Astyanax mexicanus: one gene and its partner. The protein of the gene in region 1 interacts with the protein of each later gene in a pairwise test. Links are inferred from orthologs where the notes say so. Each region holds a gene or a part of one and is shown in the gene's direction. Other genes may lie near its edges. The genes, in order: jade1 and yju2.

Region 1 (12,589 bases):
AGCAATTCTCACATAATGTTGCTTTAAATTATGCTGTGTTGTTTTATTTAGGGGACTTTTAAAGAATCGGTGGTGGGTATAGACTGCAGGTGGGGGAGGGGGGTCTACACTGCAGACTCCCTGGATGTGAGCATGGTGGGAGTAGGATCAATCAGGCGGAGTGTGTTGTTTGATTGTTTTGTCTTCTGGCTAAAGTGACGTGATGATATGTGACACTTTCTGGGTCAGAGAGTTTCTGCTGAAGAAATTTAGAGCTTGGATTTGACTCTTTGTGACAGGCTGCCATTGTGTGTGTGTGTGTGTGTGTGACTGTTGAAGATTAAGAGAAAGAGGGAGGTTGTAATATTTGAGCTGTATGTGTGTGTTTATTTTAGGAGTGTGAGTGTGTTCCTTTGCTTGTGGGTGTATGCAGAGAGCTAGAAAATTAGAGGTCATTGTGCCTTCCTATATTTTATTTTGTGTGTGTGTGTGTGTTCATGGTACACAACATGTATTGTAATATTTTGACACAATACTAAGAAAAGCAATACTGTTGCCTGATTTAAAAAGTGCTGTTTAATGCTATAAACTAATTCAAAACTCTGTACAGTAGTTTTCATAACTTTAGTTTGGTTCTACAGCTTTCTTTTATTTTATGCTGAAGTATATTCAGGTAACTGGACTTTTCAGACTCTAGCTATTACAATAAGCAGTAGTAGTATTCTTTAATTCTTACACTATCCATAGAACATTAAAAAGTCACATGTATATACAATAAGAATGTTTAGATGGCTAAAGTGTGTGTGTGTGTGTGTGTGTGTGTGTAATTTATTGAGTGTGTAGCTTAAAAATATTTTGTTCATTTCAGGTCGGAGGAAGAAATGCTAAAGTTTATGGGTTTGATGAACTCAACGTGGATCATTGATGGTCATGATATAGTAACAGCCTTTGACCTGTCCTGCTTCAAGTCCATAGTGGATGTTGGAGGTGTGTTAACCCAAGCCATTCATTTGCACTTTAGCGCAGCTGTTAATGCTCGGTAATGATCCACACACCCATTCTGACACACTGTAATACACATAGTGGGGAGTAGTGTCTGTTTTTTAAGGAAAGCACTAAAGAAGAAATGTCCATGAAGGTTTTAGGCAGAGATAAAGTTCTGAAAGTGGGTCACTGTCAAAGGGAGCAACAGAATTTGAACATGTTTAGTTAATACACAGATAATAGTTTGTGGATTAAGATTAATCGATTATTTTAAATTTGATAATAATATTTATTAATATATTGTCTCTCCTCAGGCTGTTCTGGAGCTCTGGCACGTGAGTTAGCAAAAGCCTACCCTGCTTCCACGGTTATAGTTCTGGACCTGCCCAAAGTGGTCCAAACAGCCCAGAAACATTTCATTCAAAGTGATGACACCATCCGGTTTCAGGAAGGTCAGTGGGGTTCTTATCAGAGATTACAGACCTAAATCATTACAGAATCATTAAGAGAATTTGTTATAGCTGTAAATGAATCGTTTATAGTAACTACTATCCCATGAATAGTTATAACTGAATCATTCATAGGGGTTACATGACCATTTGTAGCAGTTACTAAATTCTTTATAGCAGTCAGTGAATTATTTATAGCAGTTAGTGAATCTTTTATAGGCGTTATCGAGTTGTTAGTAGCAGTCAGTGAATCATTTATTGCAGTTATGGAATCATGCATAGCCGTTTTTTTTGTCCTAGAACATCATTGCAGCCCTTAGATCATTTTTAAGATGATGAAAGACACAGATTCAGTCAGGAAGTAACGTGTCGATTTGTGAAGAGAAGTAGCTGGATGTATTTTTAATTAAATAACTGATTAATCGCTGGTGTGTTTAGGAGACTTTTTTAAAGAAGACCTTCCTGCAGCTGACCTGTACGTTCTGGCGAGGATCATTCATGACTGGAAGGAGGAGAAGTGTTTGACTCTGCTGAAGAAAATTAATGCAGCTTGCCATCCAGGTGAGCACACCAAAGCAGGTTGACAGGAGCTAGCTATGAAGCTGTTGAGCTGTTAAGAGTTACATCCACATTACATTACCTGCTGAGTTGCTGTGGTGCCTAAATACTATTGCAGCAAGGTTGGGTGGTTCGAGGAGGACCACAGGGCTGAAAGCACCATTTGGGAGAGCAGAAGTATTACATTTACAAATAACCCCCCCAAAAAATAACTCGCACAGTAGTCATTTATAGAGCACAAATGGAAATTGGAAATAGGAGTGAACTAGGGCTCGCTTCCTTCCTTTCCTCTCTGTCAGCTTCCTTTCCCTGTTAGACTCTGCTGCAGGGAACTATTATCATGTATAGTCAAGGTCTTGTCAAACATTTTTACATTTTCTTTCTCCCTCTTTTAGCTGAAGTGGCCCATTAAAGCACAATTGTATCTTCCTTCTTCTTTCTCTCTGTCTCTGTAGGGGGTGGTGTTCTGCTTGTAGAAGCTTTGCTGTTTGAGAACCACAGAGGTCCAATCATGGCTCAGATCTTCTCTTTAAACATGCTGGTCCAGACAGAGGGCATGGAGCACCCACCTTCACAATATACACACATGCTCACTGCAGCCGGATTCACTGATGTGCAGGTGTGCAGGACGGGCAAGTCCTACGACGCCATTCTGGCTCTCAAATGACCTTCACCATACATCCACTGATGCTGTGTCATGGTTGGATCTTTAGTACACTTCTTGTAAAAAAAAAAAATCTATAAACGTCCAGAACCTACCTTACACACTTCAGATGCACTTGGATATAATTTGGTAGAATTATTATAATAGATTATAAAGGGACCTGTTCAGATTAATGCATCATGTTGCTTTTTTGTACACACTGGGACCAGGATCGCTATATCAATTTGGCTTTTGGCCCCCTGCACAATTCTTAAACACATCATTAGTTACTTATAGGATTGAACTGGAGATATCAGTAGCAAGGAGTTTTAGACCACTGAGGTTAAGTAATGGTGTCAAATCAGAAAAAAAATAAGATTCCAATATTGGAGGGCTAAAGAATTGCACATTTAAGTGTTTTTCCACACTGAACACACAAATCACGCACATATTGAGCCACAGGTAGCCACACTAGAGCCAAGTATTGTTTTTTATTGGGGTAATGGCTTATCAGAGTCCCCCCCCCCCCCAACTTAACCTAAAAATACCCTTTATGGACCAAAGTTTTGAGGCATGTGGTTTTTCCCTGTTTCTTCCTTTTAGCATTAGACAAGAGACTTGGTGAGGACAGGATGTTCATCACCACCCCAACTTATCCCATCTCTGCATAAACTATTGTGCCTTTGCACATCTATTGTATTGTAGTGAAGGGTGCAAATTCAACTAGCTGCATGCATTCATTAGAAGGGGTGTTCACAAACATTTGGTCAAATGGTATGTGTTGGTTATACTGAGAAGTTTGAGAAATGACTTTAAATGACACGTGCTATGAGACGTACAGACGCGTGGGAACAAAATTAAAAGCTTAGCCATAGCCACACTTAGAGTATGCATTTGCACCACAAATGGTTGAATTTATTAATTTGTAGGAATGTCCACCATTTTGGCATATATATCTTGTTTGCTTCTTTAGTTAATGTTAACTGAAATTAAGGTGCTAAATGTAGCTAACAAGTAATGGAATTATGTAATCTAGCTAAGATAAAAAGCTAACAGGCTCCAATAATGTTTAAAGACACACTCCTAACTCTCACATATTAAAAATTATATGTGATTTAATTGTCTGTTAAGAGCTTCATATGTCTGCAGTCACTAAATAGAGCTGTTAAAATAATTCACCACTGTTAGATAGATGCTTCTACAATAGGTAACACCCCATTATTAGGCTAGTGAAAGTAAACAACAGCTAATTGTAAAGTAAATCATAAGGTTATAAGAAGAAGTCATTCAGTAATATCTAAATTCTTAATTATGTTGTTCCTTTACTGTTTAACTCACTCTTTGGAAATGTATGAAAATAACCAAACTTTATTTTTTTCTTAATGTACTGCATTTTTTTATATGTTTTAAAATCACACAATATTTGAAATGTATCTCAATATAAGCAAATACATGAACATTTTTTTTCTGTAGGAATGGACAGAGATCAGACTTTAAGGCTGAGATTTTTTTGAGTCTTTTTTTAAGAAAGAGGCACAAAAATAATTTAGGGTTGAATTGTATCAGTGTTCTGTTTTACTTGATTTTTTGTATTCTAGCATGTTTCCAATGCATGGTAAAAAAAATCATGTTTATGCATGCTAAAAAATATACACCCTTTCTATAGCCCACTCTGGCCCTGGACTTTATGGAGTGATTTCCTATTTTACAAGAGCTCCTCTGTCTGATTTGACCATGTCTTCAATTCGACCTCCTCCTAGTACTTGTCTCAAACACTCCATTTACCTCCAATATTTACCAAGTGTCGCAATATAATTATCCCCTTCTTACTGATCATTTCTCATATGGAGTTACTTGAATTGCAATTGTTACACTGTTTTATGTATCCCTTCTTTCATGAATATTTGTTAATAAAATGTCAAATTAAATGTTCACAGTGGATTTAATATTATTTAATATTATATCAATTACTGTCAGTTTTAGTAAAATATGAAAACTAAAGAAGAGATGTCCTTAAGGTGATAAATGTGTGGATTAAGCATATACAACCAACATCACAAACACATCAAATCAAAAACACAAATAAACAAACAAACAGAACAAAGAAAAGTAAGACTAAAATAAAATAAAATGTAAAAGCTGGAATACAGCCTCAGACGTCCCAGGTCTCCTAGAAGTTGTGGTAGTCCACCGCATATCAATAACAACTCCCTGATGCCTGCAAGTCACATAAAATCTCCTGGATTCTACAACAAGTGGCCCCAAGTGAACACAAACGCGAACACAGTGTGTGTGAAAGAGTGGGAGGCGCCTCCCTCATGTGCATATTCATGAAGCGCATGCAAAACAGCGAAGGTTCTGATCGGCATGTTCATTTCAAAGCCAATCGGTTTTTAGTGTTTGTGGGCAGTGTTCTTTCCCATCCTAAAAGGGATGCCTTCATTACGTAATGCCCGGATCAGACTACATGATTTTAGCCCGATTTTGACCTGATTTTGTCGGTGCCGTCAAATTACGTACGTCGGATCCGAATTTCAGTGTCTCAAGCGACAATGGTCCGTGTAGTGTGACACAGTCAAACAGCAGTAATTTGACGTGAGCGACACCGTCGGAGCGTCCGACGGAAAGACTAGCATGTTAGAATTTTTTTGTATTTAAAATTTTAACACATTTTACCTCTGACTACTCTAAAGTATATCCATGTCTGGTAAAAAACAATGAAATTTTTGCCCGCTGTACAGTTTGTAATAATGATTTTAGCATTGCCCACGGCGGACTAAATGATTGCAAAAGGCATGTTGAGGTGAGTTGAGAAATGTATTTTTGTAACTTAGGATGTCTGCAGCCAAACATACACAGGGCACTATACCCAGAGTACCCAGTTTACATAATCTCCATGTTTTTGTATTATAAGAGGAAACAAGAGATCAATATGAAAACTCCACCCAGAGAGGGACTTGAATCCAGAACTGGAAGACAAACGTGCTAACCACTAAGCCACCACGCGGCACTAATACATCACCAGGCCCTGTAAAAACAGTAAATTACCACAGGATTTTGGGGCAAAAATCAGTTGAAACACATTTAATTTTCCAGATTAATGTTGAATGAATACTTTGTTTATGTTTGTATCAACAGAGTCAAATTCTAATTAAATGTTGATTTAATTAGTGTAAAAAACATTAACATTTGTAATGCAAAAGATATTCAACGTCTGTTATGTTAAGGGATTCTGATTTAAAACGCCATACAGGTGAGTAAGAAGATCTGAGGAAGATAATTATAATAAAAAAACAATGCCTTTAGTTAGGAATACAGCGGATATGCTTGTAAGTATGTACAACTGATTATTTTTATAGGTCATTTAAAGAATCACAGCTATATCTGTCAGAGCGTTCTCTCTTTATTTTCACTATCTGGACCCTCGCGCCCCCGCGTGGCAGTGCATGGCAGCGCGAGTGGCAGTGACGCACGATTTTAATGCACTTAGTGTCTGCATGCCTGCCTTCTTTGCCAGTTTAATAACTGCATGGATGAATGATGATTTGTTAAACATGCTTGCGATAAAACGACCCTCGTGGAACAATCATGTACTATATTTTTTATTATATTTAGTGAGACACTTTTAGGCGCTGACCATGGTAGCCTAGCACATTTTATACTGCATTGTAACTTTTTTTCTCGTGCCTTTTATTTAGAGTTAAGATTAATAATTCTGTAGCGCAGCAGCAACATCTTGTAATCTGTGTGTGTGTGTGTGTGTGTGTGTGTGTGCCCAAATTTACTGAGTCACCAATGTTACAGTTTAGCGCTTTGGCGCCCTCGCGTGGCAGAGACAGCATATTGCAATGCAAGAGCTACACAACATGTTTTTCGATGTTTCATGTATTTTTGTATTTAACGTTGACAATAGTAATGACGACAGTAAATATGTGAAATAATGAAACGTACGTTTAAGAAACGTTTAGCGATATATTGTATGAGCTCACTGCGCATCATTTCAGAATGAGGTTGTATGCCCTCTAGTGTCCACAAGGGGTAACACAGAAGCCAGCAAGCACATACGTAGGCTACGTAACGTGTGTGTGTGTAGTGTAGTGAGAGGTTGTGTATGCGCGAGCAGGGGTGGGGAGGCGACAATCTGCTGCCGTGCCGCCTGAACTCAAACTGTGCGCAGCACCATTGGTTATAGCACCATAGAAAACGCAGCCAGCGCAGGACCTGCAGCGCGCGCCCAGCCATGTAGGTAACGTTACCCGTCCACGTTTCATTAACGTTACATTCACCGCTTCTGCAGCACGCGTTTCTAGAGCCAGAGCGTCCACTCGGCTCCACGCTCTCGGGAGAGGAGGGAGGGGGATGTTTAATTTTGTTTAAGCCATTGCTGGAGCCTTTTTAGCCTGATCAAGACGGGCCGGTGTTATGTCGATTTGTGCTACCCTGTCAAAACGTGTTACACTTGTGTAGCGTTGTTGTTGTTTTAGGTAAAACTCCCTAAATGAAACAGTGGGTAGCATTAGCTAGAACATTCGATATACATCTTAAGCTAGCAAAAATACAGTGAAATATTTTAATCACTGTTTTAAGGTAAGGATGATAAGCTAATATAAATATAACGGATATGATTATTTTTTTCTTTCGTAATATCGTCACTCCATTAATACCAAGTAACCCCAGATCGTGTTATTATGATGCATCAGATGGAAACACGAAGAATTCTCATTAAAAAAAATGCAAAAAAATAAAAATAAAAGTGTGTGGGTAAGCGCGTGCGCAGTGGTGCAAGTAGCCAGAGTTGCCAGGTTTATGGTATTTCCGCTAAATTAGGCTTGTTTGAAAATCCAGTCGCGGGTGAAAATTCAGGGGTCGCAGGTTGCGTTATTTTGGGCTACTTTTAAAAATACCGCGGCCGCCACAAAAACAAAACAAGTCTTAAAAAATGCAAAACATCACAATGTTACCAGAAATTACCATGCGATTAAAAATGTTAAAGAGGATACAAGGAAGTTCAGGAGGGGGAAAGAACAAAAAAATTGTTCGTAGAAGTCATTTACTCTGGAAATTTGTTACTATTAAATGTTCTTGACTGGGATATGAAACTGTTATTAAATAACTAATAAAACACTAATGTTACAATATTGTTTATGGCATAAAGATAAATAGCAATACTGATAAGAAATCCTTCATACAAAAACTAAGTCGTTCACTCATGGTTGTTTTGCGATTTGCTTTAAATGTTACAGACCTATTTTGGACTAGTTTAAGCTTTTGAAGGGCGGGTTTTAGACTGATTTGGGCTGGATATTTTGGTGGACCTGGCAACCCTGCAAGTAGCACACATCGCCGGGTAGCAGGACTCGGCACAGCACGGGGAGTTGGAAATGTAGTACGTCATTAAAATGGCGCCAAAAGATTAAGTTCTGAGGGAAAAATAATAAATAAATGGAGAGGATGAAGAAATATTAGCACGTTTTGACCCCAAACTAAGGCGCTGCTCTCCGTCTCCGCCGAGTAACGCGCGATTTTCGGGACGCTGATGCTGACGGAGAGCCGCGTGCAAAAAAAAAAAAAAACGGTGCAGCCTTTAGCTAGTTTTATTTCTGCCTGTTTTAAACTTTCCCTCTGTGCTCAGCTGGTCGTAAACCAAACAAACAGAGCTAGATGTCGGGAATAAATATATTTGAATATAAATATTAATTGATATAAGTTAATTGAAATCTCTGCAGTCAGTCATTTAGTTAGATTATGTTGTTGTGGTTGTTTTTGTTTGAGCTCCACATCTGTTAGCGTTTGCCCGTTAGTTAGTTAGTTAGTTAGTTATCTTTTCACCTCAAGAGCGCTTCTAGCTAATAAATTTGTCATTTTAAATATTAGGATTAATATTAGTTAGTAAACATCATTGCCAAGAAACCACTGTTGATGAGCGTTGTTTACCGGTGTTCTGTCGACTTGTGCTACCCGGTCAAACCGTGTTACCCTAGTGTATATATAGTTATTTAACTGTAAAAATGCAACAGAAACGCTATATTAGAGCATGATCTCAGAAGAAGTCCCAGTAGATGTAGCGTGAGCATATTTGGATAGCATAAACCACTGTATCATGGTAAAGCTTATTGTAATGAGAGGTTATTACAAACTGCATTTGATATTTTTTAATAATATATATATATTTTTTATTAATATTAATTTCCAATTACACATTTATATCTGCAATGACCGTTAAAATGAGTTAAAATTTTTATTAAACATTTATTATAACAAAAAAAAACACGATCAATAATTTAAGTGTTAGGTCAGCGCATGCGCAGTGCCTTTAGGAAGCACGTATCGATGGGTAGCATAACTCGGCAGAACACCGGCAGCTGTAAACAGCAGCAGCGTGCGAGCAGGGAGGAGAACGCGCGCGAGCTGAAAATGTGGAGTTTAAAATAGCTGTTGTTTTTAAATGTAACGGTTATTTCAGCTCCAGCTAAAAACGTGTTTTAGACGGGTTACAGGTTAAAACCAGTAGTTTATAGTTTAGGACAGGCACGCGCGCCGACAGCTGTCCCGCGTGCGGGGGGCGTGGCCTGTGTGTTTCTGTTTTTAGCTCGTAAGTGCTGTAGATAAAACTTCATCCTTGAGAAAAAAGGTACCCAGTAAGTTACCTGGTAACCCAGGTCCAGAAAGTACAAATCTAACCCAAAGTTTTGTACCAACTACCTGGGCGGATGCAGCCCTGGGTTCAATTTTTGATTTTTTCTGGACCTGGGATTCCCATCTCTATTAAAATGGAATCTAGTGCTAATTTACGGTTTAGTACAAAACAAGCAGAAAAACGCAAATCGGATAATAACACATGCAAGTTTAGTGTGTAATTAAGTTTAATAAAAGTTCAGTACAGCTAAACAGAGATATGTCATTGTCCAAATAAAAAACAAGTTGCTCGAACTAGAAATTACAGAAATAAACTCTTTTTATATTTGACATCCATTGAAAGTTAGGAATGTGTCATCGCTCAGTTCCTGGGGATGCTGAACATTAGTTGCTGCTTTTACTTCCCGCTTTGAAGCTCCAGCTCAGTGGCGGATGGAGGATTTTTCTGAGTAAGGTGCCATCAAGGGGCCACAATATCCATAGAGGGGCCAAGTATTATTTCACCATGTTCAAATACTTAAATGTAATTTTAGGAAGTTTACATGATACAATCTAGTTCATTTTGTGCCAAAACTTGTACACAAAACAAAAACTGCAATCAAGATTTTAAGGATCAAAAATAATCAGAAGTGCATGTTGCAAATTCAAAACAGAAAAAAATATATCAAATATATACAGATCTGGAAAAAATGTAGACAGCTTTAGTTTTCTGAATTAGTTTCTCTGATTTTGCTATTTATAGGTATATGTTTAGGTAAAATGAACATCGTTGTTTTATTTTATATACTACGGACAACATTTATCCCAAATTCTAAATAAAATTGTTGTCATTTAGAGCATTTATTTGCAAAAAATGAGAAATAACAAAAATGAAAAAAGATGCAGAGCTTTCAGACCTCAAGTATTCATATTCACACAGTTTTAAGAGTTCAATATTTGGTGAAATAACCGTAATTTTTAATCACATGCATTAATTTCCATGCATCTTGGCATGCTCTCCTCCATACACACTGCTTTTGGATAACTTTATGCCACTCCTGGCATACATTCAAACAGTTCAGCTTAGTTTGAGGGCTTGTGATCATCAATCCTTCTCTTGATTATGTTTTAGAGGCTTATTTTTTCCAGAGCTATATAATGTAAAACATGTGATTTAAAAAATATATATATTTTAATTAAATAATTTTATGTATTTGCTTACATTTTTGTGGATTGTGCTGCTAAAGTCGTTTGCTGCTGGAATCTCTTGTTTGCTTCTGCTTTTTTTGCTTCTATATGTATATAATCTGTTATTTTACTTTCAGATTTTATACCGTTGTGTAAAACCTTTGGCACATTTGAACAATTGTCTGTGCATTTTTACTGTACATAGACAAAATGAGTGACAGGACAGGGGCACTTCAGGGGGCCAATCAGATTTCAGCTTGGGCCAGTTGGGTTTAGGTCAGAAGAATGAGGAGAACAAACACTTTATTTTGTTTAATACATAATTCCTTTAATATGTCTTTAACATAAATCCACATTGTAGAAAATAAAGAAACAATACTCATACTGCATATTCATACATATATTTACATGAGCGCTTGATGACTGGGTTATATTTCTCTGTAATGCTGATCCAAAAAAAAAACGCTTCCTATTTATTATACATGCAAAAATGAAAATTATTGGTGGCAGGCTACTCACGGTTTGGCTACATTTGTGATACTGAGTTTACAGTTAAATTGTTTCACAATATTCTGAACAAACAAAATATCTAGCCTTGCTCCATATACAATTAAGTCTAGAGCTGGTGACTGGTGCCGATATTTATCAGGAAATGGCCTAGATCTAATGTAGATATTATGATTAATATAATTCATATGATATCTGTTTTGCAAAGTTGAGTTCCAGTGCATTGTGGTGCATATAATATTTGTTTGAGTTGTTATTGTATTGTTACTTAATATAATAAGAGAATGTGTAATTCTGTTACTAATAATTAGTAGTTGTTGTTATTAACATCATTTATGTTCTGGTCATTATTGGCTATTATCATAACCTGCTCATGCAAATATTGGTCAGCTGTGTTGTGAGCAGCTTGTTGGGAGACAAACCGCAGTGGTGGTCATTAGCTAATGTCCGAGACCATCTGCTTTCTGTGTTTGGGGTCTAAAATGAAACTGCTGTGTGCAGATTGGTGAGGCGTTAGGAGACAGCGGGTGCTGACAATGAAGCGAAACCGGGTGCCCAGCACCAGCGAGGAGTCTGATAATGGAAGTAAGCACTTTTTCAGTTTTTGCTTTCATCCTTCACTCTCTGTTCATCCCACCTTGCACCCTCCCCCCTTTTCCATTCTTTCTTTTCTCGTAATAAACTAAGCATGAACATGCACTGCCTGCCGCAGCTGCAGCTTTTCAAACCCACGTGTTTGTTAAAAATGCTTGCTGCACAGGTGCACACAGGCATGTGCAGGAGCAGAACCTAACCCATAGGTGAAGAGCAGGGTCAGGCAGGTTCACAGAGGTCATCCCAGGTCAGGCAGGCTGAGGTAAAGCTGTCTGTGTTTAGGGGAGCTGAAGTTGAGTCAGCTGTAGATTAGTGACTAAGATCAGTTAGTCTGGGACTGAGATGATGTTAGTTTTGCTAAGCAGTGGGACTGAAGGTACCATTAAAGGGTCCCTACCCCATCTTTTTTGTATGAAGAACTCCATTTGTGTGATGTGTCATTTTGCCATGGAGTGAATTATGGTTTGGGGATTCGACCTTGCTAATTAAGACTTGAACCCCCCCAAAAGGAGTAAAAATATTAGTTTAGTGGGGTTATATTAATATATTACTGAGCTATATAAATATACTACTAGATGATTAATACTAATCATACTAATTGCTACTTTATGTTGTCTAGGGTGACCATATTTTCATTTGGGTAAACCAGGACATCTGGTAGCGGGGGTGGGGGGAGGGGGGGGGGGTGGGGGTGCACTTACTGTGAGACTGCACCGGAAGGGGGGGAGGGAGAGCGCCACGCTGACAGTCACGCTGTCTACTGCTCTCTGGTCCAGTGAAGGTAATTTAAAAACCAGGACATTTCCTCTCTTTCTGGAAAAAAAAAACCCTGGACGCCCGGGACAGGAAGTGAAATACAGATGTTTGGTCACCCTAATGTTGTCAAACGTTGTGGTAGCCTAAATTGTACCTGCACTATAGTTCATGGTAAAGAAATAATGTAAATCTGGCAGTAGTACCATAACACTTTATGCTGTACTAGACTTTCATAATGAATAGATCAATAAAAATGTTCCAAAAGAGATCACTGGTTCGTATTTCTGTCATGTAGCTTGCTAGTTCTATTGAGTGG
Region 2 (13,331 bases), on another chromosome or scaffold:
TTATGGAGGGTTTTTTTTCAATAAGATTCATAAGCCAGAAGCAGAAATTTTTATAATTCAAATCGTTTTGAATCAAAAATCGATTTTGAATCGAATCGTGGCCCCCAAAATCGGAATCGAATCGAATCGTGAGATAGTAAACGATTCCCACCCCTAATAGATACCATTTTTTACAGCCGTGTAAAAGTATGTGTATTACCAATATCGATACTTACTTAGATTTAAGGAATCAGGAGCATTATGCAACATTGTAGTTGTTAATGTAAAGTAGTGCAATTCAACTGTTAATTTTATCACAAGTTTTCTTTTAAGAAATTATAAAAAAAGTATACAAAATAAAGATTAGTTTTACTGTACTGGCATATGTTTATTTCCACAGCATAAATTATGTATAAATTACACAAGCCTTATTGCATGCTCTTTCTCTCATCCATTCTCTCTTTCAGTAATCACTTGGCACAATGTGCTTCTAACTTTCTAAAGAAACTGTAGTAGTTTCTGTTAGCATTTAGCCTAGCATACAGCATACAGCATCTGACTGAAACACTCTCTTTATGGAGAAGTTAAGCAGTTAGCCATTTATTTATTAAACCAGGTCTTAAAGGTCACAATTTCATAACCTTTAATCAAATTGACATTATGAATGTCAGAATTAAATGTTCTTCAATAATCCCTGTGTTTTCATTTTACATCAATCCTGTGGCTAATAATTCACCACAAGTTTAATCTGTGTGCGTGTGTCCATCATTAGGGCTTTCTATCCACCACCGTCAGCCCAAACGACTGCCGCTTTCTCTCAAATGTAATTCAAAGTAGTCAGGATTCTGTTAATCGTCTTAACTAACACTGTAGTCTCTAACACACACACACACAGACCCTCTGTCTCTCCATGCATGCACTCAAATACAAAATCTACCACAGCAAACACAATTAACCACTTACATCTTCAAAGCTATTAAAATTTTGAGATTCAGCTTTTTGACATTTGCACAAATCAAACTCTATCTGTAATACACACAAAATGCATTGATCTGTGGTGCACTGAAACTGTGTTCACTGGAATGATGGTGCTCCCTCCAATACTTTCAGGATGAGGTTGGGTGGTGATTATTCAACATTTGAACCTGACTAATGCTCTTGTTGCTGAATACAATCAAATCCTTTCATCAATGCTCCAAAAGCCTTCTCTGGACTGTAGAGACAGCTACTACAACGAAAGTATAGTCTTTTAATAATGTTGTCTTTTAAGTGTAAATGTTAAAGAGCTTGTATGTGTGTCAGTTCTTGAACTGTTTATCCTTATATCTGCAATTAATAGTGATTAAAAACATAGCCATCAAAGAGATAATAAAGCCTTTAAAAAGTTTGACAGATTAATTTTTAGTCCAATTTTGAGATATCACAAGCATGCACTGAGCCAAATAAGATCAATGTCAGCTATGCGAGTGGCTGCCAAACTGCAATGACTGTTAAAACTTTAAAGTTCCCCAAATCCTTCCATTCTAAGAGAAATGCCTACTGAGTTCTGGGAATTTTGTGCGTTAGTTTGTTTGTTTATCTTTATCTCCAGTTACCGATCTCTTTCCGGTTTTGCGGAGAGTGCAGCATGTGACATTTGGCCTACTTCCCTTAATCTGGTTCAACTTTCTGTTCAGCTGTAATTTCTTTCTCTCTCCAATGCGGATTTCACGAAGCATATTGGTTGTGCAATAGCAATAAATTATACTGCACTAAATAAAGCACTACAAACAGGTGCACACACACACACTTCAGACAGCAGACTCAACTCAACATGACCTCTATGGCAGCTTACAGATTGGATTAAACAGCTTTTGATTTAAGGTCTATGAGGAAGTAGGCATGAGTTCATTAGGACAAACTTATTTTTTTAGCTAAATATATCCAGCTGCAGTTTTGTACCTTCTCACACCTTACTCAGCTTATTACCACCTTCTTTAATAGGAAAGGGTTCTGGAAAGGATTTAATCATCATTCTCAAAAGAGTGTCTTTTTAGGGTTCCTATTGTATGTACTCAATTAGAAAAACAGCTCACTTTTAGGTATGCTGCTCTGTCTGTTTAAACTTTGCTTAAGATACAGGTGTCATTGGTCCATTCTCCATTCTTCAAGTGTGGGAGCGGGCAAAATAAGGGATGTATAAAATATATGGCAACCAGAATAAGTGAAAAGACCACATAATTTATCCCAAACAATGCCGTTGTTAATGACAACATTTAATCGCAACCAGTGTAGAATGAACCACTCCTTCTCAATGTAGCAAACTTTTGTACGCTTTTGTAAATCTTGTCACTAAAAGGGGTGAGGGTGGGGGCATCCAAGAGTTTGTAGACAGGGAAGGCTTTACAGTAGATGTTACTTAGTAAAACAGATGGAGTAAATACTATAAGAATCTGAATGCATGTGGCCCAAAGAAGCATTAGCCAGAAAGGTCAGGTACTGATAGCGCATGTGTCGCTGCTTTAGAACATCCCATTCTTTAGGCAAAACTTGTTAAGATTATGGCATATGCATACAAGGCTAAATTTCAGCAATGGGCTCACTTAAAAGCCTCTGAATTTTATTAGATTTTGAAAATTACCTTTTATATTAATCTTGTGGCTAATAATGCACCACAAGTTTAACCTGTGTGTGTGTGTCTATCATTAGGGCTTTCTATCCACCACGGTCTGCCCAAACGACTGCAGCATTCTTTATGTATTTCAAAGTAGTCAGAATTCTGTTAATTGATGTAAGTAACACTGTATTCACTGAATGGGAGGCCATAAAATCATACAAACAGTACAAGAATCAGCCTCATTCAGAACCCTTTATCCTCGTTCAAATCTTTATTAATCTATCAAGTCTATATAAGGCAAAGTGGTTTAGAGATGGGGTTTGAAATTACTAATGAAATAAACTTCTTAATTTAAATCACTGTAGTTTAAAAATAGACCTATTATCGTGGCTGCAAACTGAAAAACACAAAAATTGAGACTTTTTTTCTGGCATATACTGTATCTGAGATATCTACATCAAAATCTTCCTAAAATAAAATTTTTCAAGTATTTCAAGAAACACGAAAAACATATGACAGTTGTTATGGCTATCTGAAAATGAGCAATGGTTTAACAGGATAGTTTATCATACAGTCGAACAGTAGAACCAACCATAAACAATCCTAAATCAATTTGTTTTAAATACTGATTGAGAAGACAGAAAACAGTTAATATTTTATATTAATCCATAATATTTATGGAAATTCAGAAACTCAAAAAAAAAAGACTCAATAATAACACTAAACACATTATAGTGAAAATCTTATCACTTACCAATTAGAGACAAGCCCTGAATCATGAAGATTAGTTTAGTGAATGTAGCCAGCATCTTGGAAAGCTTTTAACATTGTCTGTTATTTTTAGCTTTTTTAATGGTTTAATGTAATACATGTTTTTATTGATTGCAGTTTATGTTAAATAGCATAATAAAATCTGAAAGAACTTTTCCTAAAATAGTTTTATTACCTTGAGGAAGCCTATCTTAGCTTTTGTAACTGTGGAGTTTTTCTGAGGTAGGTTAACTTAGTTAGCTTAGGTAGCATAAGGCTAAGTCAGCTAACTAGCTAGGTTAGCTAAGCTAGTTTAAATTGAAAAGTTTAAATTGAGAAAAGTTATTTTTTCCATTGCATAAATTAAACATTTTTAATGTACTTTTGTGTTGCTACAATTTTTGTTACAAAAATCTTCTTACACATTTTTGACTAACTCGTTTCCAAAAAACTGTTTTAAGTGTTTATTCTGGTAAATTTAACTAGTTAAATTAGCTAGCTAGCATTAACCTAGCTATCTAGATAGACTTTTGACATTATGGCAGCTAGCGTGTTAGCTTAGCTAGGTTAACCAGCCTATCTAGCTAGTTAGGTTAACTATTTCTACACTGTTTTAATGTAATAAATATATTATTTGCATTTTTATGTTGAATATAATAATAAATTCTGAAAACACTTTTCCTAAAATAGTTTTGTTAACTAAGCCAATCGTAGCTTACGTAACTGTAACTTTTCCTGAGGTAACTTGGTTAGCTTAGGTAGGTCAAGTTAGCTAACTAGCTAGGTTAGCTAAGCTAGCTAGTTAGCGTAGCTAACTAAAAGTTTAAATTGAGAAAAGGCGAGGTTATTTTTACCATCTCCTAAATTAAACATTCTTAAACCTTAAACCTACTTTTGTATTGCTATATTTATTGTAACAAAAATCTTTTTACATACAAAAATTTTCTTTGCATTTGTGACAGATTTTTTTTCTCCAAATAACTAACTTAAAAGTTTAAACTGAAAAGGGTTATTTTGTCCATTTCATAAATTAAACCGTTTAAGGTTAGATGTACTTTTACATTACTTTTTATTAGCTAACAACAATTTTTGTAACAAACATATTCTCACAAAGAGAGTTTTATTTGCTTTTTTGACTGGCTCCTTTCCAAATAACTGGGTTTTAAGCGTTTATTCAGGTACATTTTGTTAGATGGGTTAGCTAGCGTTAACCTAGCTAGCTAGGTAGACGTCCGGCGGCTAGCGAGTTAGCTTAGCTAACTAGGTAAACCAATCTAGCCAGCTAGTTAGCGTTAACTGTTTCTAAGTTGTTTTATTGTATTAACTACATTTTTATGGTGAATATCATAATATTTTTAAGTACTTGTATTAGCTTACCTACATATTTACTCCAGGGAAGCCTAATTAAGCTTTTATAGCTAACTAACTGTTAGTTGACATAGGTTGGCTAAGCTAACTGGCTAAAAGTTCATATTAAGAAAAGTGGCGGTTATTTTAACCTACTTACGCCTGAACTCTGCTGATCACTGCATGGCGTCCGCGGCTCCTTCTCCCGCTCTCTGCCTCTCTTTTCTCCTTCTCTTCAGTTCGCAGAAGCAGTTTGTTCAAACTTTAACATCCAAAATAGCTCCATGGTGAACGGCGGTTGGTGTAAGAAGCTTCAGCTACAGTCAGAACTCCGAGCGAGGAGCTGCTGAAGAGCCCGTCTCTCTGCGCTCAGCCTCGGTCTCCTCACTCACAGCAACAGCAGCATCAGCAGCCGCACTTCACTCATTCTCTCAGCTCCAGGGAGTTTATAGCTATATATCCCAGATTTTTACATTCACAGCAGCCTGCGACCACCCCGGTTCCACCACCACCGCTTCCCGCAGCTCACACACATTATTTCAGTTTTTTCTCTTTCAGAAAAGGAGAGATGGGGGGAATAAACCGCGCGCGCGTCCCCTCCCGCCCGCGCGCATCTGAGCTGAGGGATGGGGAAGGGATTACGGCGCGAGAGACGCGCTCTGTTTTTAATTATTGTGATTATTCATCACTCTTAATCACAAACGAATAAATAAATATATAAATGAGTAAATAAATAAATGCCGCGTGAATGGATAATTATGTGGGTAATTACGTGGGATGGAACGTGTAGAGTAGCCTATTCTTTCATGGGTGACTTCGGTTTTTGCTGTGAATTTGTTGATTTTAACCTTCAATATCAATTCAGCAAATAGTATGTTTAGCACAAGTTTTACAACTTTCATCAAGCTGTTTTGGATCCGTTTTTTTTAGCGGGTGCCGGCATTTTAACCAGCATTTAATAAAGCAGGCTCGCTTTTCAGCTGCCGGGGTTGGCCAAGACTTCAGTTTGTGCACTTTTACGCGCCCCATGCGCTTTTTTTTACGCGTGCCCTGCGCTTTTACGCGCCCTGTGCAATTTTAACGCATGTCACACGTAAAAGCGCACGAGGGTTCTATGCGCTTTTATGCGTGTTTGTGCGCTTTTATGGATTCCGGGCGCCTTTACGCATCCCGTGCGCTTTTATGCATCTCATGCGCTTTTATGCGCCCTATGCGCTTTTACGCGTGCCATGCGCTTTTACGCATAGTGCAAAACAAGATAAAAACAAGATAAAAACACTCTCAACAACAAAAGCACTACTAAGGTAGAGATAATGGTGTAATTCATCTGTAATTTTTAATATTCTAATATTTTTTTGAAACATTGTTTTCGAATTTGTTCTGTTTTTTGTGATATTTTTTTATCCACATTATAAGCAGTAATATACGAATTTGCTCTCTTTTTTGAAGTAAAAGTAAAACAATTTCACTTAAACCCAGTTATGTAAAAAACAAACAAAATAGCTACACGAAAGTAACTACACAAGTGTATTCTGGTGTTTTTTAACAAAGAAATTCTATTCTGTTTATAGACTTTAAACCCAAAATCCAGATATCTCACTCTCTGGGAATATGATAACTAATAATTATACAACTATTAAAACAACTTAACTTTCAGTGAAAGTTAGTATGAAAAGATTTAGTTCAACGCAAGAAACAGCTTAAACTGTTAATAACTTAAATGCTGCAAAAACCTAAAAAAAAATGAATTTTTGTGGAGATACACAGCCCAGCTGGCCACCAACGGCAATAGACGTTAATTTCATGTTGAATGTTGGTCATGACGTCAGATGACAAAAAAATTACGCCAGGATAACGTCTAATACTGTTACGTGCCAGCGTGGAGAGATTGGATATGAGGAATTTGCTCACGAAGCTGGGTTGCGGATACATCAGAGTTTCAACAAACAGTTTATTACTCTCAATCGGCCTAAAACAAAACACCTTCTTTAAGGTGGTGCTCCTGCTGCTGTAGACTACGGTTCTTCAATCCTGGTCCTGGCGCCACCTGCCCTGCTAATGTATGGCTTTCTCCTCTCTCAACACACTTGATTTAATTCAACAGCTTACTAACAAGCCTTGTCAGAGTTGAAGTGGGTGTGTTAAAAAAGGATTTTCATTAAAATTTCTTATCAAACATAAAAAAACTTTTTATCTAATGCTCGAATAGAAATCCTCAGGATTTATTCATATAATATCAAGCAGAAAAGTGTCAATCGAGAAAATATTATAGAAAAATACATACTAGTAAACTAGCTCGTGACCAGCATGGTGTATGTTTTTTTTTTTCTGGATGACCAGCTAACATTAATCTGTATTTTTAAAAGAATAATATATTTCTATGACAATTTCAGATATTTAATTGTTAATATTTTAGTGCAGGCATCAATATAAAGCTCTGGAAAAAATAAGAAATCACTTAAAAATGATGAGTTTCTTTGATTTGACCAAATTGAAAACCTCTGGAATATAGTTAAGAGGAAGATGAATGATCACAAGTTATCAAACCAAGCTGAACTGCTTGGTGGCATAAAGTTATCCAAAAGCAGTGTGTAAGACTGGTGGAGGAGAACATGCCAAGATGCATGAAAACAGTGATTAAAAACCAGGGTTATATACCCTGATTTCTGAACTCTTAAAACTTCATGAACATGAACTTTCTTTGCATTATTTGAGGTCTGAAATCTCTGAATCTTTTTTGTTATTTCCATTTTCAACCATTTCAATCATTTTCTGCAAATAAATGCTCTAAATGACAATATTCTTATTTGGAATTTGGGAGAAATGTTGTTAATAATTTATAGAATAAAACAATGTTAATTTTATTCAAATATAAATAGCTAAATCAAATAAACTGATTGAGAAACTGAAGTGGTCTCTTAATATTTTTTTCAGAGCTGTATATGACATCAGCTGTCGTACCACCATGGGTTGCTCTGTGGTTTAAGAGCAGCTTGCCTAGAAATATTAGGAAAAGAAGCATTAAGATTTGATGCAATATCGCCCTCTTCTGCCTCATATTTACAGTGACATCACTGAGGATGGCTGCAGTTTTCCCGGGTGTCTATATGGGGCAGTAGAGAGCCAGTCTGACTGTTTCTCCGTTTCTCTGTGGAAGAGAGTGAGACTGAAAGGAGTTGTGTGTTTTTCGGGCTGTGTTTTTTATTGATCTGCTGCAGTCATGTCGGAAAGAAAGGTCTTAAATGTAAGTACATTAAATACTCTTCTATTTCTACTTGTGATTAAATGAAGCAAATGAATAAGGAAGCGATAGGGTTAGTCAGAATGCTAATATGCTAACCTGTTAGCTACATGAGGCTAACTGACTAAGTTAACCTAGCGCAGGTCTGAAGATAGCTACAGACACTAGCTTAGCTAACCCAGGTAAACAGATAACCCAGGTAAACAAACACAGATAAATACATAAACTCGAGTATCTGCTGTTAAACGAAACTATTTACACAACATAATTTCAGAACGTGATAAATTGAGGCTAAACCCCTGTAAGACGTTTTCATTAACTTACCTGGCTAGCCTAACAACTATTTTGTGTTAGCTACATTTCTAAATTAATTTGTTTGATGTGTTTTTCCTTATATACTGTTAAATATTTAGGTCAGATTTAGAAATATACTTTAGAATTAAGTTATTAAAAGGTTCACGAACTTTCAAGCACAACTACAGCTACTTACTTCCAATACATTTTAAAGTACAATGTTACAGTAATAGTCCCTCGAATAGTTCACTCGAATAAAATATTATTTTGCTAAGGTTGCACAATATTTCATATATATAAAAAGAATATCCATGTTTTCAGTAGAAGTGACCAGAATTAACACGTTTAAGAAAATGGTAACCTGTTTTTTTAGTAATTATGTCATGTAAAAAAATAAAAGCACCACAGATTTCCGTTTGTATCAAACACCAAAAAAAGTCGTAACATTACATGTTTGATATAATTTGACATCCTACCTGATACCTGCACAACTTGAGCAGATTTCTGAGCAGAATTGAGCGATATTTCTGTTTGGATCAATTTGTTTGACTTGGTTTTCCTTATATACTAATATGACTTGTGTCAGATTCATGCAGAAATATGACAAAAAAAAAAAATAAAGGGTTCAGAAACTTTTAAGCACCACTATAACTACTTTTGTCTGTGCACATGCACAACTTGAGCACATGCTCATACTGCTGCATAAAGATAAGATACTCTTTTCATAAATGTATAGCAATAATTTTAGAAAATCTAGCATGTTTCTACATGTTCTTGGACATACGTTTTGTGTTGTTGTGATGACTAATTTGTTTACACACTGCATGGTATTGCTTTTGTAGAAATACTACCCCCCAGATTTCGATCCATCTAAAATCCCCAAGCTCAAACTGCCCAAAGACCGGCAGTATGTGGTCCGATTGATGGCTCCATTCAACATGAGGTAAGAGACTTAGAAAATTCATTACTTACATGACTGGTTAAATTGTGTTGTTTGTTCGTTGTTTGTTTAAATGTTTCCTATCTCTTTGCTTCAGGTGTAAGACGTGTGGAGAGTACATTTACAAAGGGAAGAAGTTCAATGCAAGAAAAGAGACAGTACAGAATGAGCTGTATATGGGGCTGCCCATCTTTCGCTTCTATATTAAATGCACAAGATGTTTGGCAGAAATCACATTTAAGGTAAGCAAGTGAAGTAATAAAAAAATACATGGAAATTACATTTCCATCTTCACTGCAGTCTTAACTTTCTGTTTTTCACATTTCCAAATAGACAGACCCAGAGAACACAGACTACGCTATGGAGCACGGTGCCACAAGAAACTTTCAGGCTGAGAAGCTGATTGAGGAGGAAGAAAAGAAAATCCAAAGGGAACGAGAAGAGGAGGAGCTAAATAACCCCATGAAGGTAATATTGAACAACTTATTTTTTATTTGCAGCATAATAAATACTTATACTAAAGACCACCATTATTTGTTGCCTTTATTATACTTTCTACTTAACCATTAACTTTTCTCAGATACGCCAGAATTCTGTTTAGTTATCCACATGCTCTGGTGTTTCCATCAGGTTCTAGAGAACCGTACACGGGATTCAAAAATGGAGATGGAAGTCCTGGAGAACCTACAGGAGCTGAAGGAGCTGAACCAGCGGCAGGCTCAGGTGGACTTTGAGTCCATGCTGGAAGAGTACAAGGAGCTGGAGAAGAGACAGAAGGAGAAGGAGCAGGAGGAGGATGAGAGAGAGACCAAGTATGTGCTTTATACTACTTGTGCTTTATACTATACTACCCAAGTATGTGGTAAGTATAAAGAAATCTTCAGCCTTTATTTGAATCTTTCCTGGAAAAGGCTCGAAGTTGCTAATGATGAAAGTTGTTCATGCCAGAATGTCATTCCCTGGTTTGAACGTGGACGTTAAACTGTAAAACAGCCTATAGTGAATATGCGTTTACAATGAACTTATACAGAGTGTTTTAGTCCATTTTTTTCATTTTGAAACAATACACAGTACGGTCCAGTCAGAGCAGATGTCATTTGTATGTGTTAGGTTAGTAAGCAGTTGAAGATGCAAAAACAAGCTTAACTTTTAATGGCAATCAGTGTGTACAAGTTTTGTTCTCTCAGATTATGGAAAATGAAGAAACTGGTGGGATGATGCTATTTTTATAGACTATATGAATGAAAGAACTGTTTGTTCTGTTCAGGGAATGTCTTCTAGTTTTATGAGCATTGCTGTGAGTATTTGATACCCCTCTATCCTACACCTGGCATTGGGCAAGGTGGCATGGTGGCAACAGGTTCATGTTTATTTGCTCCAGAATGTAATATTCCAATAATAATACTTGTATGTTAAAGGTTAGACAAGCTGGCTGTATGCATACATTTTAAGAACTGTCCATGTATTTCTTAAAAGACACTTTTAAAAGACACTTGGTCTCAAAAATGTTCACATGTCTATTTTCTTTTTCCCCCCTCCGCTTTTTTTATTTCCCTCTCTGCAGAGAAATGCTGGATAGAGCTTTAGTGAAGAGGTTGAGGGACTCTGACTCGGACTCGGACTCAGATCAGGAGGAAAAGAATAGAAAAGAGCAGCAGAATAAAAACGCTGCTCTGAAACCCACAGATATCCTGACTACAAAGGAAGGAGCAGACATAAAGGTACTTTAAGGAACAAACATATCCTTGCTGCTGCCTTGTGAGGAGATGGACAGTGATATTTGAATCTTACTGCTGGTTTTTACAATCTATGAAAAACTCTGCATAAAGAATTACATTGCTTAGGAATGTTCATTTTCTGGAATTGGAATTAAGTTTTACAGAACAAATTTGTTTGTCCATGAGATTAATTTGTCTTAATGAGATATGTAATTTTAGATTCTAGTCAACTCTAGGTTCTGAAATTTTTGTTTGTCCATTTTAGCTTCTTTTTCCCCAGATTTCACACATATAAATCTTCTATTATCTTCCATTTTTGGTTCAGTTTTGCCCATTTTTTTTTTATAATATTGCCCACACTGGTCTTAGTTATCTTCCAAAATGTAAAGTATAGCTAGAGTAAAGGACATGTTAGCATTGTTGCTTTAACCCCTTGAACCCTTGGTTTATTGATCAGTTAGTCATCATAAGTAGAAATTATCTCAAGGCCAATCAGGGCCTCTTTTGTATCCTATGAAGGTTATGACTAATGTTATGAAGGTCAAGAACTGGGGGCTACAAATTCTTTAAACAATTGAGTTGGATAGGTGTAAACTTCTAATCTGAATGTTTTTGTAGTTATTATTATTATTATTATTATTATTGTGTTCTATTGTATTTTGTATTTCTCTATAGTTGACTTATAGCTTTATATTTTTACCCATCTTTTCACCGTCTCCATAGGGCTCCTCCACCGGGGTGAAACGCCAGAAAGTTGAGAGCTGGGAGAGGAGTGTTGGAGGTTTGGGAGGAAAAAGTGCACTGGGATCACTTGTAGTAAGGAAGAAGCCTGCAGCCACCACAGCTACAGTACAGCAGCCGACAGCTGTAGGCCAGACAGGTACAAATGCAGGGGACTGTACATGTTACATTAGAATTAGTTTACCAGTAAATGTGTAGTCAGTGGTTTGTTTATTTTTTATACTGCATATTAAATCTTGTCGAAAAGTGGGGATTTTGTTTGCAATCATTTTTTACCAAAGTATTCCAACTTTTTGAAATTTGCATCCACTACAAAAGCTTCTTCCAACCACAAGATTTAAACTACACGCCATTTAAAATTGGAAATAAATACAACACAAGAATTAGTGTGGTTTGTTGACCCTACATCATAAACATAAATAAATATCTGAAACTTTTTTTTGTCATTTGTTCCATGGTTGAGGGGTTGCATACAATCAAAATGATTTACAATAACTTTCACTGAATTGGCAAAAATAGCTGTCTTATTTCCTAACCTTTTTTCTGTTCGACCAAACAAGCGCAACATAAGTATATTTATTTTTTCAAATCAGCATCCCAATAATGTTGTAACAGTTAAAATAACAGTTAATGATGAGAATGAATGAAAAATAAGAATGTTTAGATTTAGAAATACATGCACATTTCTTTTATTGTATATATGTTTTATCAACTTTTTAGAACAAATTAACACTATATTTTATGCCTCCCAGAACAACCAGGTTAACTCTACAGCTTAAACCCCAAAGTCAAGTTTGTGTAATAAAAGAATGGAAAAGGAACACTTAGGCTTAAGTTATCAAGCTACCTGTGAGCTCCTGCTTTGTGAAACCTCTTTTTGTTGTGACAGATTTGTATTAAATTCTATTCTAAAATATATATTTTTCTATCTTCTCATTCATATGCAGCTTCTTCTAAAACTGCAGAGACCTCTGCTACAGCCACTGCCGGCAGCAGCCAACCAGTGGTGGTCCAGAACGGTTCCTCTCTCAGCCTGCTGGGGGCATACTCGGACAGCGATGACAGCAACTCTGACTGAGCTTCTAGTGCATTAGTGCTGATGAAGACTATTTTTACTGTTAAAATTCGCATAATACAGAAAAAAAAATCTTTCCCCCTATTTTAAGGTGGAGAGTTTTGTTGGGTAGATATTTTATTTGGACATAATTTTTAATAATATTCTAGTTGATGGATTTATAATTGAAGTAAAGACATTTCCTCAGTCATGTTTATCATATTTCTTGGTTTTAAATAAGAAGTTTTTTCATGATGCCATTTTATTTACTAAAATATCTCACACACATCTCCCTCACACAGATATGATTACTCTTTCTTTTTATGGTTTGTCATACAGCTCACACACATGCCCTATCTTTTGTTTGATATGTTATTTTTACTACTTTTGTTCCTCCAAACTCGATTGATAATCCTTTCATAGTAGTGCAAAAGTCTCTAATCCACCCTGATTTATATATTGAGCTTATCTGACCTTATCGGTTAGGAGGGTGGTGTCACCCAAGCACAGCAGATGGCTATTTTCAAACTAGCCTGAGTTTGTTTTTCCTGAGAAATCAAGACAAATCCTGGACCACTTCTAGTTAAAACACTTAAAACACGCCCTCTTCACTAAAACCTCCTCTTAATATGGGACTTCAGTAGTGTACATGTAAATGTAATGGGAGGCTG

The links.
Region 2: the proteins of jade1 (region 1) and yju2 interact in a two-hybrid assay, tested with the Homo sapiens proteins (2 studies listed by BioGRID and IntAct). The two-hybrid records come from large-scale screens. The link is inferred for Astyanax mexicanus from reciprocal best matches to the Homo sapiens genes JADE1 and YJU2.

Annotation. Positions count from the first base shown.
Region 1 is NC_064421.1:35,252,604-35,265,192, reverse strand, and holds the start of jade1 (protein Jade-1), read left to right. Parts: upstream 1-6,700; 5' UTR 6,701-6,859; intron 6,860-11,424; 5' UTR 11,425-11,459; coding exon 11,460-11,508; intron 11,509-12,589. Other genes in the region: asmt2 (acetylserotonin O-methyltransferase 2), read left to right, coding at 848-966, 1,278-1,415, 1,851-1,973, 2,426-2,637.
Region 2 is NC_064411.1:46,959,510-46,972,840, reverse strand, and holds the start of yju2 (splicing factor YJU2), read left to right. Parts: upstream 1-7,785; 5' UTR 7,786-7,892; coding exon 7,893-7,916; intron 7,917-9,049; coding exon 9,050-9,150; intron 9,151-9,244; coding exon 9,245-9,389; intron 9,390-9,480; coding exon 9,481-9,615; intron 9,616-9,777; coding exon 9,778-9,959; intron 9,960-10,711; coding exon 10,712-10,868; intron 10,869-11,588; coding exon 11,589-11,745; intron 11,746-12,553; coding exon 12,554-12,684; 3' UTR 12,685-13,331.